Linked DNA regions of Drosophila melanogaster. Changing the gene in region 1 together with any one later gene gives a genetic interaction. Each region holds a gene or a part of one and is shown in the gene's direction. Other genes may lie near its edges.

The links.
Region 2: of twz (region 1) and TfAP-2, changing one suppresses a phenotype caused by changing the other (phenotypic suppression), as found in Drosophila melanogaster (2 studies listed by BioGRID).

Annotation. Positions count from the first base shown.
Region 1 is NT_033778.4:21,572,235-21,578,985, reverse strand, and holds the start of twz (tiwaz), read left to right. Parts: upstream 1-2,950; 5' UTR 2,951-3,004; intron 3,005-6,751. UniProt on the Drosophila melanogaster protein: Functions with the transcription factor TfAP-2 to regulate octopamine neuronal signaling pathways that control behaviors such as male aggression, male mating, and the initiation of feeding.
Region 2 is NT_037436.4:21,594,805-21,601,555, forward strand, and holds the start of TfAP-2 (transcription factor AP-2), read left to right. Parts: upstream 1-4,051; 5' UTR 4,052-4,477; coding exon 4,478-4,534; intron 4,535-6,751.

The DNA of each region.
Region 1 (6,751 bases):
GCCAACTGGAGGCAGATGCGAAAGGGGCGGGCTGCATTAGTTTTGTTTCAACTACCAGAGGCCTAAATAGTTTATTGCCTAATCAGTGTGAAGAGAACAAAGAAATATTTGAGTATTACAATTAACACAATTAGCAGAGAAAATATTTAAGTCTGATTTTTAAGTGTTTATTTTATTTATTATTCATATTTTACTTGCTTATTTTCATTCTTGCTGATTTTTAATAAACTTATTGCTCAAGTATAGCAAGCATATAAACTTCTTTCCCAACTGGGATTTAAAAAGCTCACCCCATTTGAAGATCTTAATCGTCGGCGTTTAACTGTTTCCCTTTTGGGCCAAAAAGTGAGCAAAACAATTACAAACTATCTGCCGCACTACAGTGGCTCCTCCATTTGCTGAACAACTGATTCAATTCAGTGGACTGGTCGCGGCTTCCGTTTAATTGTGTGGCTCACACGCATTCTGCACGATTTTTCCCCACAAAAATCCCCAACCCTTTCACCTGCCGTCCCCTTCGCCTAAATGCTCGAATGCAGTTCGTTTTCGTGTGTGTGAGTTTGGTTGAGTGTGTGTGTGTGTGCGTGGTAGTGGGTGGTTACTCCTCACGTGTAACAGATGTCTGTAAATTGCTTTACTGACTGACTGACTCGCCAGTTGGCTGTTGGCGGTCGCTTAACTGCTGATGTTGCTGCTGTTGCTCCTGTTTGGTTTGTTGTCAGTCAAAGTGTCAGTATGTATGTGGCTAGCTTGCAGGTGTGAGTGCAGGTGTGACTGTGTGTGTGCGTGCATGTGTATGGGTGAGCATTGCACTTATAACTGCATTAATACGAGCTTATGGCTCACAGAATCGGAGGACCCATTAGTTATTGCTGCTGCGGCTGTTGTTGTTGGCCCAACATGCCACACACACGGCACACGGCGATGGCATTGCTTACAGGTGTGCGGCATTCGCAGCTTGTCAGTGGCCGCGTTTAACGCTACACTTAAACAAACAGCCGCGTGCGTCCACAAACATCGTACACATGCAACCGCTTACGCACACTTGCACACTCACACACACACGCACACGAATGGCGGCGGAAGTAAGGACAACAACAACAGCAGAAGGCCAGGATGTGGCCGCCTATTAAGTGATTTTAACACTTTGCGCATGAAAATTGCAAAAAGGCAACGGCGCGGCGTTGATAATTATCCCTTAATTGCTTAATGAGCGGCACTTGAGCAGCGCCGTCGACAGAAGCGACGTAAGTTTAATTAATGCCAATTTAATTACCACGCCACACACACACACGCACACACACATGAAAGTGGACGCATTTATGGGCTACTACTTACCGTTGTGTGGCACTTAAAAGCCGCACTTACCGCATAGAATTCTCTCACACTTTGTAAGTGAATTAAAGGCTTACTTGTTGTATATCTTAATCAATCGGATATGTTAAAAATATACAAGTTTTTCATAGCTAATTAGTATTATACAAATATTTAAAGTCTTGAATGCTAGGTATTCATGCAAATTGCTTTTCTTTCTACCATTTGAAATGCAATTTTCCAAAAATTCAAATATCTCGAAAATCACCATTAATAAACACTAATTGCTCCCACATATCTTGTTTATCTAAGTGAGCACTGGTTTATAGTTTCGGCCAGAGCTTCGGCCGACTTGTTTCTGGCCTCGAAGTTGGCCGAATGTCTCTATTAGCCAGGGCCATAAGTTATTTGGTTGTTTGGCTTGATTAATGTTCACCTGCCTGTGTGTTCCGAGGAAAACTTAAATCGAACGATGGACTCGGAAGGGGGACTTACTATTCGTAGCAGCCATTCGGACCTCGCTTTGTAGATTGTCAGTGGCAGCTTAGTTTTCGCTCAACCCTTTTCCATTGCCTGCCGGCCGGGGGCAATCTCTTCTTCCAGTGATCTAATCTTGTTATTGCCCTGACCGCCGTCTCCGGTTCCAGGCCGGCATACCCATAAAGACATACACATATAAACATGGACGAGAGTGATTTAGCTGATGTGCCAATTCAATTATTTCTACCTACATAGGATTTTTCCACATGGCACCGGCAAAACATATAAACACCGATAAATGCCATACATACAACAAGCCATGTGGCATATAAAATAGTGAATGTAATTTTATTCACATGTCTGGCCGCAGGCCAATCCGCTTTGCCCGCCGGCACCAAATTGCACAGCAACAGCAGCAACATCAGCCACCCCGGAACCACACGACGCACCTCTCCGCATCTCGGGTGTCGGTCTTTCTTCGGTGTATATATAAATATGTATATATATATATATATATATATGCCACATTATATGCTGGGTACAGGAAGGGGAAAGGGGAGCGGAGCGGACCAGAGAGCTGAAATCCATCATTGGCGCATGGCCCCGGGTCACATTTGGGTTGAAATATTATAATTACAAGCGAACGCCCGCGGGCAAGGCGAGGAGGAAGGTGAACCGAAGCTGGAGCTCCGGCGTCGAACATTGGCATCGCATCGCGAGCTTAGCTTGGCTAACAACCACACTGGAACAAAAGTCGGCTGCTTAGATAGGAAATTAAAGTATTTCACTGAGAGCAAATTTGAAAGAGTTGAGACCAACTGCTGTCCAAGATGGACTGCCAGTTACAAACAGACGCTTTTAGATAGTTTTTTCTTTCAGTGCATGGAAGGGGGTTGGAGGGAACGGGCCAGTTGGACGGGCGATCGAAGTCGCCTGCTGCGGATATGGATACTTAGTTGTGGTGGTTGTGTTTACGTTGCGGCTGATAACATCCCGTTTTGCTGCTGCCGCCGTCGCTGCTGCGCCAGATGTTGCTGCTGCTGCTGCTGCTGCTGCTGCGGCTGGCGTCGTGCCCCATGTTGCATGCAACACGCTCGACGGCACTCGGCACTTAGACCCCAACGAGCCCCCCCAAAACAGTCTTTTCTCAACGGTGGTTCAGTGTGTTTGTGCCGATGGTGTTTGCTTTTGCCTTCGACAACGGCAGCAGGTGAATAACAGTGTCTCTGGCTATTGCCACATGCTTTTTTGCGTTTGTTTTCGCCCAGCCTGGTAACTTGTTGCACGGCACGTGTTTGGACAACTGGCCGGGTGTCCACATTAGTGGGCGGGGCAGCTGCAGCGCAGGATAACAGAAAACAGAGATGAGTGGCATATAATTTAAGAACAACACCGAGTGCCGGTGCCGTTTGCCTATAATTACCCACAACCAGCTACCAACTAACTGGCCAAAGAATCACAGTTTTTTTTTTGTCCCCCAAAATTCATCTACATACATACCAATGCACAAAAATACACATACATACATATGTACAAAGTCCGGCAGCAGGTGACAAGCAGTGTGAAAAAGCTGGGCGCTGGTACCCTCATTATATGCAAAACGCTGCGTCAGGGCCGCCAGCCACTCAAACTTAACTTATTTTTAACTTGCATATTTTTGCCCATTCTACGGCATTACCTCTGCCACTGCCTCAGCCAGTGCCTCTGCCTCTGAATGTCCTTAGGCCATCTTAGTTGCATGTTCGAGCAATCCTTTCCGTTCCGTTCGCTCGTTCCACCCCAAGAAGCTGGAAATAAAGAACTGGTCCTCTCCCATTCATAACTCGCGGCTATATCTTCTTTTGCGTTATATTTCCCTCATTCTGCTTGTCTCTGGGTATCAACTGTCAGTTTTCGAGCTAAAAACGCCGCCGGCTTAGTTTGTAAATCATTAAAATTATGCACACACACACACACATGCCTCACATCCGCACACACTTATTATGTACAATATGCTAGACTGTGTGTGTGTGTGTGTGTTGGGTTTGGTTGGAGAAGTTGGCCAAACTGCATAGGAATCATTATGCAGTTAATGACAAATGTCACGCATTGCTAATGACAAAAGGATGTCGGCAATCGACTCCAGAAGAGGCCCCTTTCCGTTCCACTTTTGCCCCCTCAATTGAAAGGCACTCTCATTTGCGAGAGTCCAGCTTTCACCGACCCCAAGAAATTGGTAAACAAACTAATAAACATAAAGCAACAAATACAATTCAGCACAATTTACCAAATACGTTGCATGAATAAATATTAATCCTGTGTTAAACAACCATATTTTATTTAGTCACTCCATCATATATATTTATTTTTCCTTTTGGGCAGATTATAGTTTGTTTAATGCATTTTATACCCACCTTTTTGTATGGGCTTTAAGGCACTTAAGTATTGCATTAGAATTAAATGGTGCATTAAAAGTATTTTGGGTCAAACTGAAACAATTGAAATAATGTCAACTGCATTATGGCATTTCGATCGAAACATATTTTTAAATCAAAGCCAAATCCTTTAGAATATAACAAATTCCCAAAAACGTAAGCTTAGCATAAATGGCATAATATGAAGGACCAAAAGGATATTCAGTGGTTATTCTTCTATTGATAATTTAATCAATTTAAAGGACAGCGAGTGATAAAAAGGACACAGCTTTAAAAGCTAAACAAACACCTCATTTTGGCACGCATTGCCTGTAAAATGATTACCATTCAAATGTTAATGTAAATGTTGTGCCACATATGGATGAATTGATGGGTGAATGGGTGGATGGGTGGATATTTTGATAGGTGGATGGGTGGATGGGTGGACGGATGGATGCCCGAATTGCTGTGATGGTTGATATGTGGTCGCGCTTGCTGCCACTGCCGCTGCAGTTCGGTCGTGCGTTAAAAATTTAACACGAATTTCAGGCTGCGGCGGCAAAAATGGCATCATTAAGTAAAAGCCCCGCGGCCAGACATTGTGAATTTTATGAGCCTTTTCATATATATGCTTGTGTATATATGGGTATGCTATATATGTTTTTGTTGCTTCCTCGCTGGGTATCGTTAATAATAAAAAATATATGTTCGCTTGTATGTGTGCGCACCCATCCACACATATACATATATACATACTCGTATATTTTAAAGCCCATCATACACATTTGCCATTTGCCCAGCCTTGTGATGATGAGTGTGTGCTCACATAAATAATAGTAATAATAAAAAATCACAATAATGATGATGCTGATGCTGATGGTGTTGGCGGTCGCGGGTGGCGTAAAAAAATCTGCGGAAATTCTCAGCATATGCGATGGCATTTAAATGTTTGTGTTTTCCCATTCAGCATTCAGTATGATATTGATTGACAAGCAAATGCACAAGCGTTGAATAAATATGCAGGCGAGTGGGCGGTATGCCCGCGGGAGGGCGTGGCGAGCGGGCTACTTTAAAAAGCCATCAACAAATAATTACAAACGAGCGCGTAGGAAGTGTATAAATGTCGACGCTGATTTCTGAGCTGATCCGCGGATTCTCTTTTACTACAATATATATCTTTCTATATATATCTATATATATGTATATACATATGTACTTGATGTATGTGACTCCTTGCACCCATATACACCTACCCCCCACTTCGCCCGCCCACCCCACTGCACTGCCCCCAAGCGATCCAAACAATAAAGCATAAAGCGCGCCGCACACATTTTGTCGAATTATTTTGTTGGCAGTCCGCTGGCGGCTAGCTGCAGCAAATTGGCTTGAAATATTGGTATTGCCATATGTATGAGCTTGTGTATGAGTGACTGAATACGTACGACTCTGCCTCTCTCTCTGTGTACGTGTGTATGTGTGTGTGTGCGTGAGCTTGTGATTAAAAAAATATTTAAAATGGCAAAAACGCAAAGCGACGTCAAAATAAAGAAGCCCGCTACCCCATTTTGCCGCTTGAAACAATAAAAGCCCCCCCCCAACAACCCCCCACAGCATTTCCCATTCCATTTGAGTGAGTGAAATGAGCGATAAAATTGCAACAGTTTCCACTCGTCGTACGCATTTGCTGCGATAAAGGATGAAAAATTGAAATGCCACTGCTCACGCGAAACAATTAAAATTTGACATGTTTTATTGAACACTTTAATGCCGGTATTATTTGCAGTTGGCTCCTCGCAATTTACGTGTGTGTGTCCCTAATTTATATAAAAAAAGTAGTAAGCTAAAACGTTTAAAGGCTATCGTGTAAAAAGATATAAAGAAAATCCCTTCCTTATATATATATATATATTTTTTTTTTTTGCTTACCTGCTTTAAGCTGGCATTCAGACACACGGTACACCATCTCTATGGCAGATCGCCGATTCTGGAAATATAGCGAAATATTATTGTGGCGCATGTACTTCAAAATGAATATGGCCGGGGGACAAATAAGCGAGCATTCCGAAACAATTGCCAATGAAAAATGATGCGACAGAACTCTCGGCTTGGGCGGAATTTTGGCCACCACCCCCGCGGGCGTTGCGTTCTCCAGCGGGCGGGGGTGGAAAGTTCGCACTCATTTTAATTACAGCTGCCTAACTGCAGGCCTCACTGTACTCGCTCAGCTCCGTCGTCTCCGCATTCCGCACACCCCTCGCCGCCTCCATTCAGCTTGTGTTTTGAAACATGGCCTGGGGCGTATTTATCACAAGTTTTTCTTTGCATTGCCGCCGGGCAGCAAAATATTTCAGCTGCCTCCGTCGCAGTCGCTCCTCGAACGACCCCGGGGCATTCCAGGCGGGCTCAGCTCAGCGCCCCAATGCTCCGTTCTTCGTGCTTCGTACCGCCGTTGCCGTTGCCGTTGCCGATGGCGATGCCGGCGGTTCTGGTTCTGCTTCTGCTTCTTCAAAGTCTCTGGAGCTGATGCCGCACAAAGTTTCATTTCGTTTGGCCGCGGGGCGCAG
Region 2 (6,751 bases), on another chromosome or scaffold:
GCCTTTTCCTGGGCCTGCGCTGCTGCTGCTGGAAGACCGGCCAGAAGAAGAGGAAGGAGGACCTGGCGAACGGACGAACTGGCGAACTGGCGAATGAGCGAAGAAGCGACCATGGGCCATGGGCCATGGGCCACGACCATGTCGCTGATGATTCGCATTCGTGTATCGCAAGCGGGCCACAGCCGCAGCTTTTGGCTTCCCCCGAAATTTGAATCTGCCTGCATCTGAGGACTTAACGAATATGAACGAAATGGCCCGGGGCTGTTTCAAAATATTACCACACTCGAGTATTCGAGCAGGGCTACGTACTACATATACATGCGTTGGACTCCGAGCCCAAGTGAATGCGGAAAATTATGGCGAGGTAGTTGCAGATACAAACACTCAATCACAAGGGCTCCATTTGCATACGCCGCTCCCCCCGCCCAAGTCCAGTCCAGAAATCCATGAGGTCTAAGCAGTCCCATTAGCCATAACCCCTAGAAATCTTAGGCTCTGTCCTGGAAGTGCCTATTCCTTTCGCTCTGAGGGATTGTTCCATTTAAGGGCCTTCTGCTCTAAAGTTACGTTCGTTAATTAGACATTTTTCTAGATGCATTGTGAGCGGGGGAATTTTTAGTGGGCTTATTCAGAATAAATCTTTGGGTTATATTCTACTTATTCGAATATATACTTACTTCTGTCTGTGTGTAATCTTAGAAGGAGATCAATCGAATAAGCAATAGATGATCGTGGTGTTACACCATATATGTACATAAATTCTTTCGAAAAATTCAGAAATGTAATTAGATCTTCAAGTGTACGGTTTTTAAAAAGATTGTATTGTAGTAAATATATCTCAGTACTAGATTTAAAAGTGATGATTTTTGTTGAATTGCCTAAGAAAGTAAATACCTTTCAACATTATTTCCCATGCTACAATCTAATTACATTTTTGGTTGCACATCGTCTGTTAAAATTTTCGGAAAATCACCACTCGAGAGCTGATTGTGATTTGCATGTGGAATGGATTGAAATGGAATGCACTTGTCTGCGGCCGGCAAGGCGGACCAAAAAGAGCGGCTTGCCGCTAAAGGAGTCGCTTGAAGTCGGAGTAAGTGCCACGAAGCCACAAGTCTGGGCAGTAGTCATGCAAGTCCTGCGGCATTCACGAGTTTCCCCCCGGCGATCGCATTTAAGACGCATCTTAAATGAGGTGCTCAGGCCGAGTCCTCCACTCTTGGGCAGTTGCGATCCCCAGCTCCTCGGCTCTTGGGTTAGGAGCCTCCCGGTTAAGAGCCAGCTTATGACTGGCTCAAAGAAAGCTGCCATTTTCGGGAGTGCACTGGTATGGGTTGGGATGTGGATGTGGATGAGGACGTGGATGTAATTGTGGCTGCAATGGTGTAGGTGTGCGGGTCGGTAGTTGGTAGTTGCACAGAGGTGTACTTGGGTGCATTTACCATGGGCACACGGACCACTGTGCATCACGATTTATGCCCGGTGCTGCGGGGAGGACTGGGAATTAATTGGTAATGCGAGCAGTGCATCAGTATCAGTATCCGTATCAGTATCGGTTTTGGCTTTGCCTCGGCATCCGAATCGGGTCTGAAAATGGCGGACCGATCATCGATCGATCGATCGATGGATGGATGGATCGATCGATCGTTCTCTTGTCGTGGCCGCAATCAAAAGTCGTGCCGCCGCAATGAAATCGCTGAAATGGAGGTGGGTCGTCCGGCATTCCACCGCCGCAATTGGATAATGCACCTGATCGCCGCTTCCACTCCACTGCACTCCACTCCACGAAATTTACTGTTTGGCCAGCTCCTCCGAGGTGGCTTCGTGAGTGGCTCCGCGTACATAATGTGCATGTGCAGTCGGCGAGATCACGGTTTCACATCTCATTTCGCCCTGCCACAAATTCGGACTTAATGACTGCGTGCCCGATATACTTTTCCTCCGAGCTTCGCTCCTTCTTTCTCGGCTGAACTTTGCTCTGCTCCCCTGGCAACAGAAGATAGGAGCCCGAATCCATTTGAGTCACTTAGAAAGCTAATGGCATAATTCAATTGGGGCGGACAAACATTCAAAGCTCGGGTTGGGCAATCCGCCGAGTGATTCAATTTTCCACAGCCGCTAATCCTTGTCCCGCTTACTGGCGGATCTAATTGTGTAACCTGAAAACAAAGCAGGAATAAATGAAATGAATGTCTCTTGAGGATTGCGACGCTTACTTTCAGCTTTTCAGCGTGGTTAATAGAACAAGGAATTCAAATGATGGAGATTCATACAGAACACCACGTTGATACTAAAGATTTATTCCTGGTGCTCAAGACTTATCTAAGTCAGCGCCTTTTTAACCCAACTTTCACACTTTAACCAACTTTGTTGATTTCTATGGCCTACTAACACATGTAACTTATAAAAAGGTCTGCTGGTCTAAACGGTGGCAATGGTTGTATTTTATGTTAATTGATTAAACTTTTTTTGCAAAGTCCATATTTTTGGATAGTTTGACACAAAACAATATTGACGAATAAGAATTTTCAGTATGTTTCATTACCTTATTGCTATATTCATGAGTTTGAGTAATGAACTAAAGTTTGCAAAAAGTATTTCGATGCCTTAACAATATCATATAATCGATTTTCTTGCCATCCAAAATTTTTCCTTATTTTCATCTCTATTACTATATTTTTATGGCTTCGCATATGAAAAGTCGTTGACTTTTGTTATTATTATAATTGTTTCATGAAGTACTTATAAAAATCTAACAAATAATTGACTAATTAGTTAACTATCAATATTTAATTTTAAAAAACATCAGAATGGGTAACTTCTATAGCTCTGAAGTTAGTGAAACATAATAGTGTTCCTGATTTGAAGTTGTGAAGCACCTGTCCTTAAATTAATTTTCTGATTTGTTTCGATTTTTTTAATTATAATCGTTGTAAAACTAACTATACTATTTAGATAAAGGTTATTAAAGCGGGACACAAGTAAGAAGTTTGCTTGTTATAAGTTCATTGGCAAGCCAAAATAGTTTGTTTATAGTGAACCTTTAATTTTAAAGAGTGCTTTAATTGTCCTAAGTTCCTCTATCGTGTTATATATAAAAGGGAATTTGTAAATTAGAAATCTTTAAGCATGCGAAGTGGCCTGCTGTTGATTTTCCGTTTGTTTAATCGTTTACAAAAATTTTACCCTCAAATGTTCGAAAGCTACAGCCATAGAAAAAATAAAAATCTGCTATTTTCAGTTTGTTTTGATTATGGCGAGCAAGGACCCACACTCACGCCCTTACATATATGGGTAGATTTTTATGTAGAATATGTAAATCGGGCGGACAGCCTCTTTCACATGGCAACCCCCGAACGTTCGATAAGTACGTAGATACATACATACATAGGTGGGTCGCTTAATCCCCGAGAGAAGAAAGAACCCGGAGCACGTACCACTGGCGATTTGGGCGTCCAATGCCGGGGTTTTCCCAGTAGCAGCCCGGGCTCAGAGATCCAGCAACCCTCGGGGCACGGGTGCGTCGCCAACCCCGGCCATTCGCATGCGATTCCACCCCTATGTATTCGTATTCGTATCCGTATCGCACTCGCATCTCGCGAGCATCCGCATCTGGCAGTGTGGCTGTGTATCCGCATCTGTGTGTCTGTACGCGAGCTGCGCTGCCTGCCGCAGCCTCTGGGTTTTCGGTTTTCGGGCTCGGCCCATTGTCTAGTAGTCCGCTGGCGGGGCGTGGCTTCCGAAATATAAATGGCTGTGCTCTCTTTGGGCGGCGGGCTCTCTTCGGAAGCCGCTCTTCGATGCCCGAAAGCCAGAAAACCTGCTTGCCCGGCGTATCTGTGTGCGCCTCACACCCATACAGACGCGCGGCGCACGGGCATAGGCTTTGGGCACTTTTCCTATGTATTTCGCAGCTGTATGGGAGAAAAAACGGCAGCAGCCGCGGCAGCAGCAGCATCTGCAGCAGCAGCAGCAGCAGCCGCCGCCGCAGCAGCAGCGGCAACATCGCACATCCCCCGAAGGTTTTTGCGTCCAACCAGAAAATCCAACTTCAGTCGAGAACTACGTCTGGTGGCTGCGCAAAGGCGGAATTTCGATTGCGGGTCCTCGCTTAATTAACCAAACCAAACCAAACCGAACCGTACCGAACCAAAACCGTACCGAAACCGCTCCGTTCCGTTCCGAACCGATCCGCACCTAGCCGAACCGAAACGATCGTGGATCCGAACTGCAAATTAGTTCAAATACAATTAAATCACGTCTATTGTCCTTCAATCGGGGAGAGTGCAGTGTATATAGCGGCGGATACGGAACTCTAGCTCCAGCACCCACAGTTGCCTTAACCAGTGCCAAAAATCGATTTTCAATAAATACTTATTTAGTGATCGTACCTGTTTTGCATTGGCCCTGGCCCAAGTGTTCAAAAGAAAACCTATGCTCTCCAACTAGTTGATATCGCCGTCTAATTTGGATCAACATGCACATTCTACACCGCACCAACGACCATCAGTTCGAGGATCAGAAGTTCATGATGGTAAGCTGCGCGCCTTTTGCAGGATACTTCGATCGGAGGAGGGTCGGGTCTATCTATCCAAATTGTCTGTCAGCCGAAATCTGCCCAGGCTAATCCCCGCCCGAGCATCGGCGCAGCTTTAGCTACTCAAAATACTCAAAGATATTGAACCATCGAGTGCCCATGGGCGGACGAGCTTGATTGACACTGAAATTTCTTTGGGCATTTTGGGGCACGCAAGCCTTAAAACCATTGGCCAATTACGACCATTGGCCAGCGATCCGGACCGAGAGATCTGCGCCCGTGATTCACATTCACACACAAGCTGATTACCATTCCGGGCCATTCTAGCAGCAAAATCAATGAGCAATTTACAGTAATGGGTTCTCCTGCGACTCCGTGTGGCACACTCTGCTCTGGGAATAATAAGTACATAAACTTCAACCTGATTGTGCCCACTCCAAGAGTCCGGGGATCACTCAAGTGCCCAAGAGGGTGTGGGGCCCCGAAAGCAGACTGCGATCACAGGCGCATGCAATTCTCTTGTAATTAGAGGTCTTAAACCTTGAAAATGCATCTTCAAATTTAAATTGACTTTTTAAAGTAGGCAGTCTTAAACCTCAAGGAGTCTATTTAAAAATTTTATTAAAGTCAGGATCTAAAACCTGAATACAAACGGTGTTTGTTTATGGTAATCAGACATTCAAGAAGTCAGTTTGCTTTTTTTGTTATCCTAGTCGAGATGCATTGGACACAAATGGACCAAATCGAAATCAAATGTGCATATTCGTATTCAGATTAGGTAATGTTCGATCAGTATCAAAGTATTAATTTTAGTTTCCCAGTATCCTTATAGGTTTTCTTGGGCTGAAAACTCTTTACTAAATGCAATTCTCTATTCAAATATTATAGGGCGACAAGACTAAAGAATATAAAATCTTATTGAAAAAGCCAATGGGTCTGTTAACTTATTTTATTTACTTGTAATTGAGAAACATACCCTTAAAGGATGCAATGTTAGTTGCACTCATTTTTAATTTTATTCTGTTTTTTGAACGGGCAATTTGGAATCATTTATTTTTTAAGACGGCAAAAGTAGCCGTCGGAAAGACGAACCTTAAAACTGTAGCTAGCATATGTATATGTATGTGTATGAAGTCCACTGTTTTTAGAGTAATGATTCTTGAAATCTTTTTAATCTTCTTTTAAATTTCATATACAAATTTATCGTACAATATTTACAGTCTTTGATCGTTTATAATATCTATAACTGTAAATGTAAATCCAAGAGAGAAAGCCATGTTATGCTTTCTATGTTATTTCGATTAAAGTCTCTATAAGATTTGTACTCTTAGTATTAGTATTTGTATCATCAGACATAAGCCTCAAATTAAGCGGTTTGGCTGTTTCAAATATGTGCGTTATGGGAGGGAAACCGTATCTGAAAGTAAAAAAGGTCCTACATTTAATGCACTCACGATTTCGAGGCAGAGAGCAAAAAGTGACGGCGGTGGGAGTGATCAGACGTCAGTGGTCAAAATTCAAATGCGAATATGGAGGAATTCTTGAAATGCGTGGGTACACGCTCCCCCATTTAATTAGCGAAATTATATGGTGTTCTTGCTTCCAAGAACTTTTTCGATGCCCGATAAAAAAATAGGGCAATTTGCGGGGCAAGGGCCAAAGATCAAAACAAAAACACAGCGAAGAGGTAGACCAAAAGTCATCGCCCACAAAAATCCGAGTCCCGCCAGCAAAGTGGGCATGTCGAGTGTGTTGGCATTAGCTTTGGTTTTGGTTTGGTTTGGTTTGGCTGGTCCTGGTACTGGTCCTGGACCTGTCCCTGGCACTCCGAAGACTCCCAAATCAGGTAAGATCCCACTGGGACACTCGCGTGATGCGTTGCCAAAATAATTTATGAGATTGAAGCGCAACGCATCGTCAATTTGCGTGCGATCGCCAACTAAAAAAAGAATGCCATACAGACTGGCAGAAAAGTTCCCATAGCCCAGCTCCCAAATATCAAAAAGTATTCAGCATTGGGCTTATTTATTAGCCAAACTCCGTTTCATCCAAGAGGTTCGGGCTCAAAGCCTGATTGATGGCTTCCCTTATGATTTATTGAATAATTTCTTTATAATTTAGAATAATTGTTCCAATTTACAATGTGCACTTTGTAGGATTGCGAGGCATGTTGGTATGGTAATTGTGCGCAGGGCTAGGGATTGCATAAAGAAA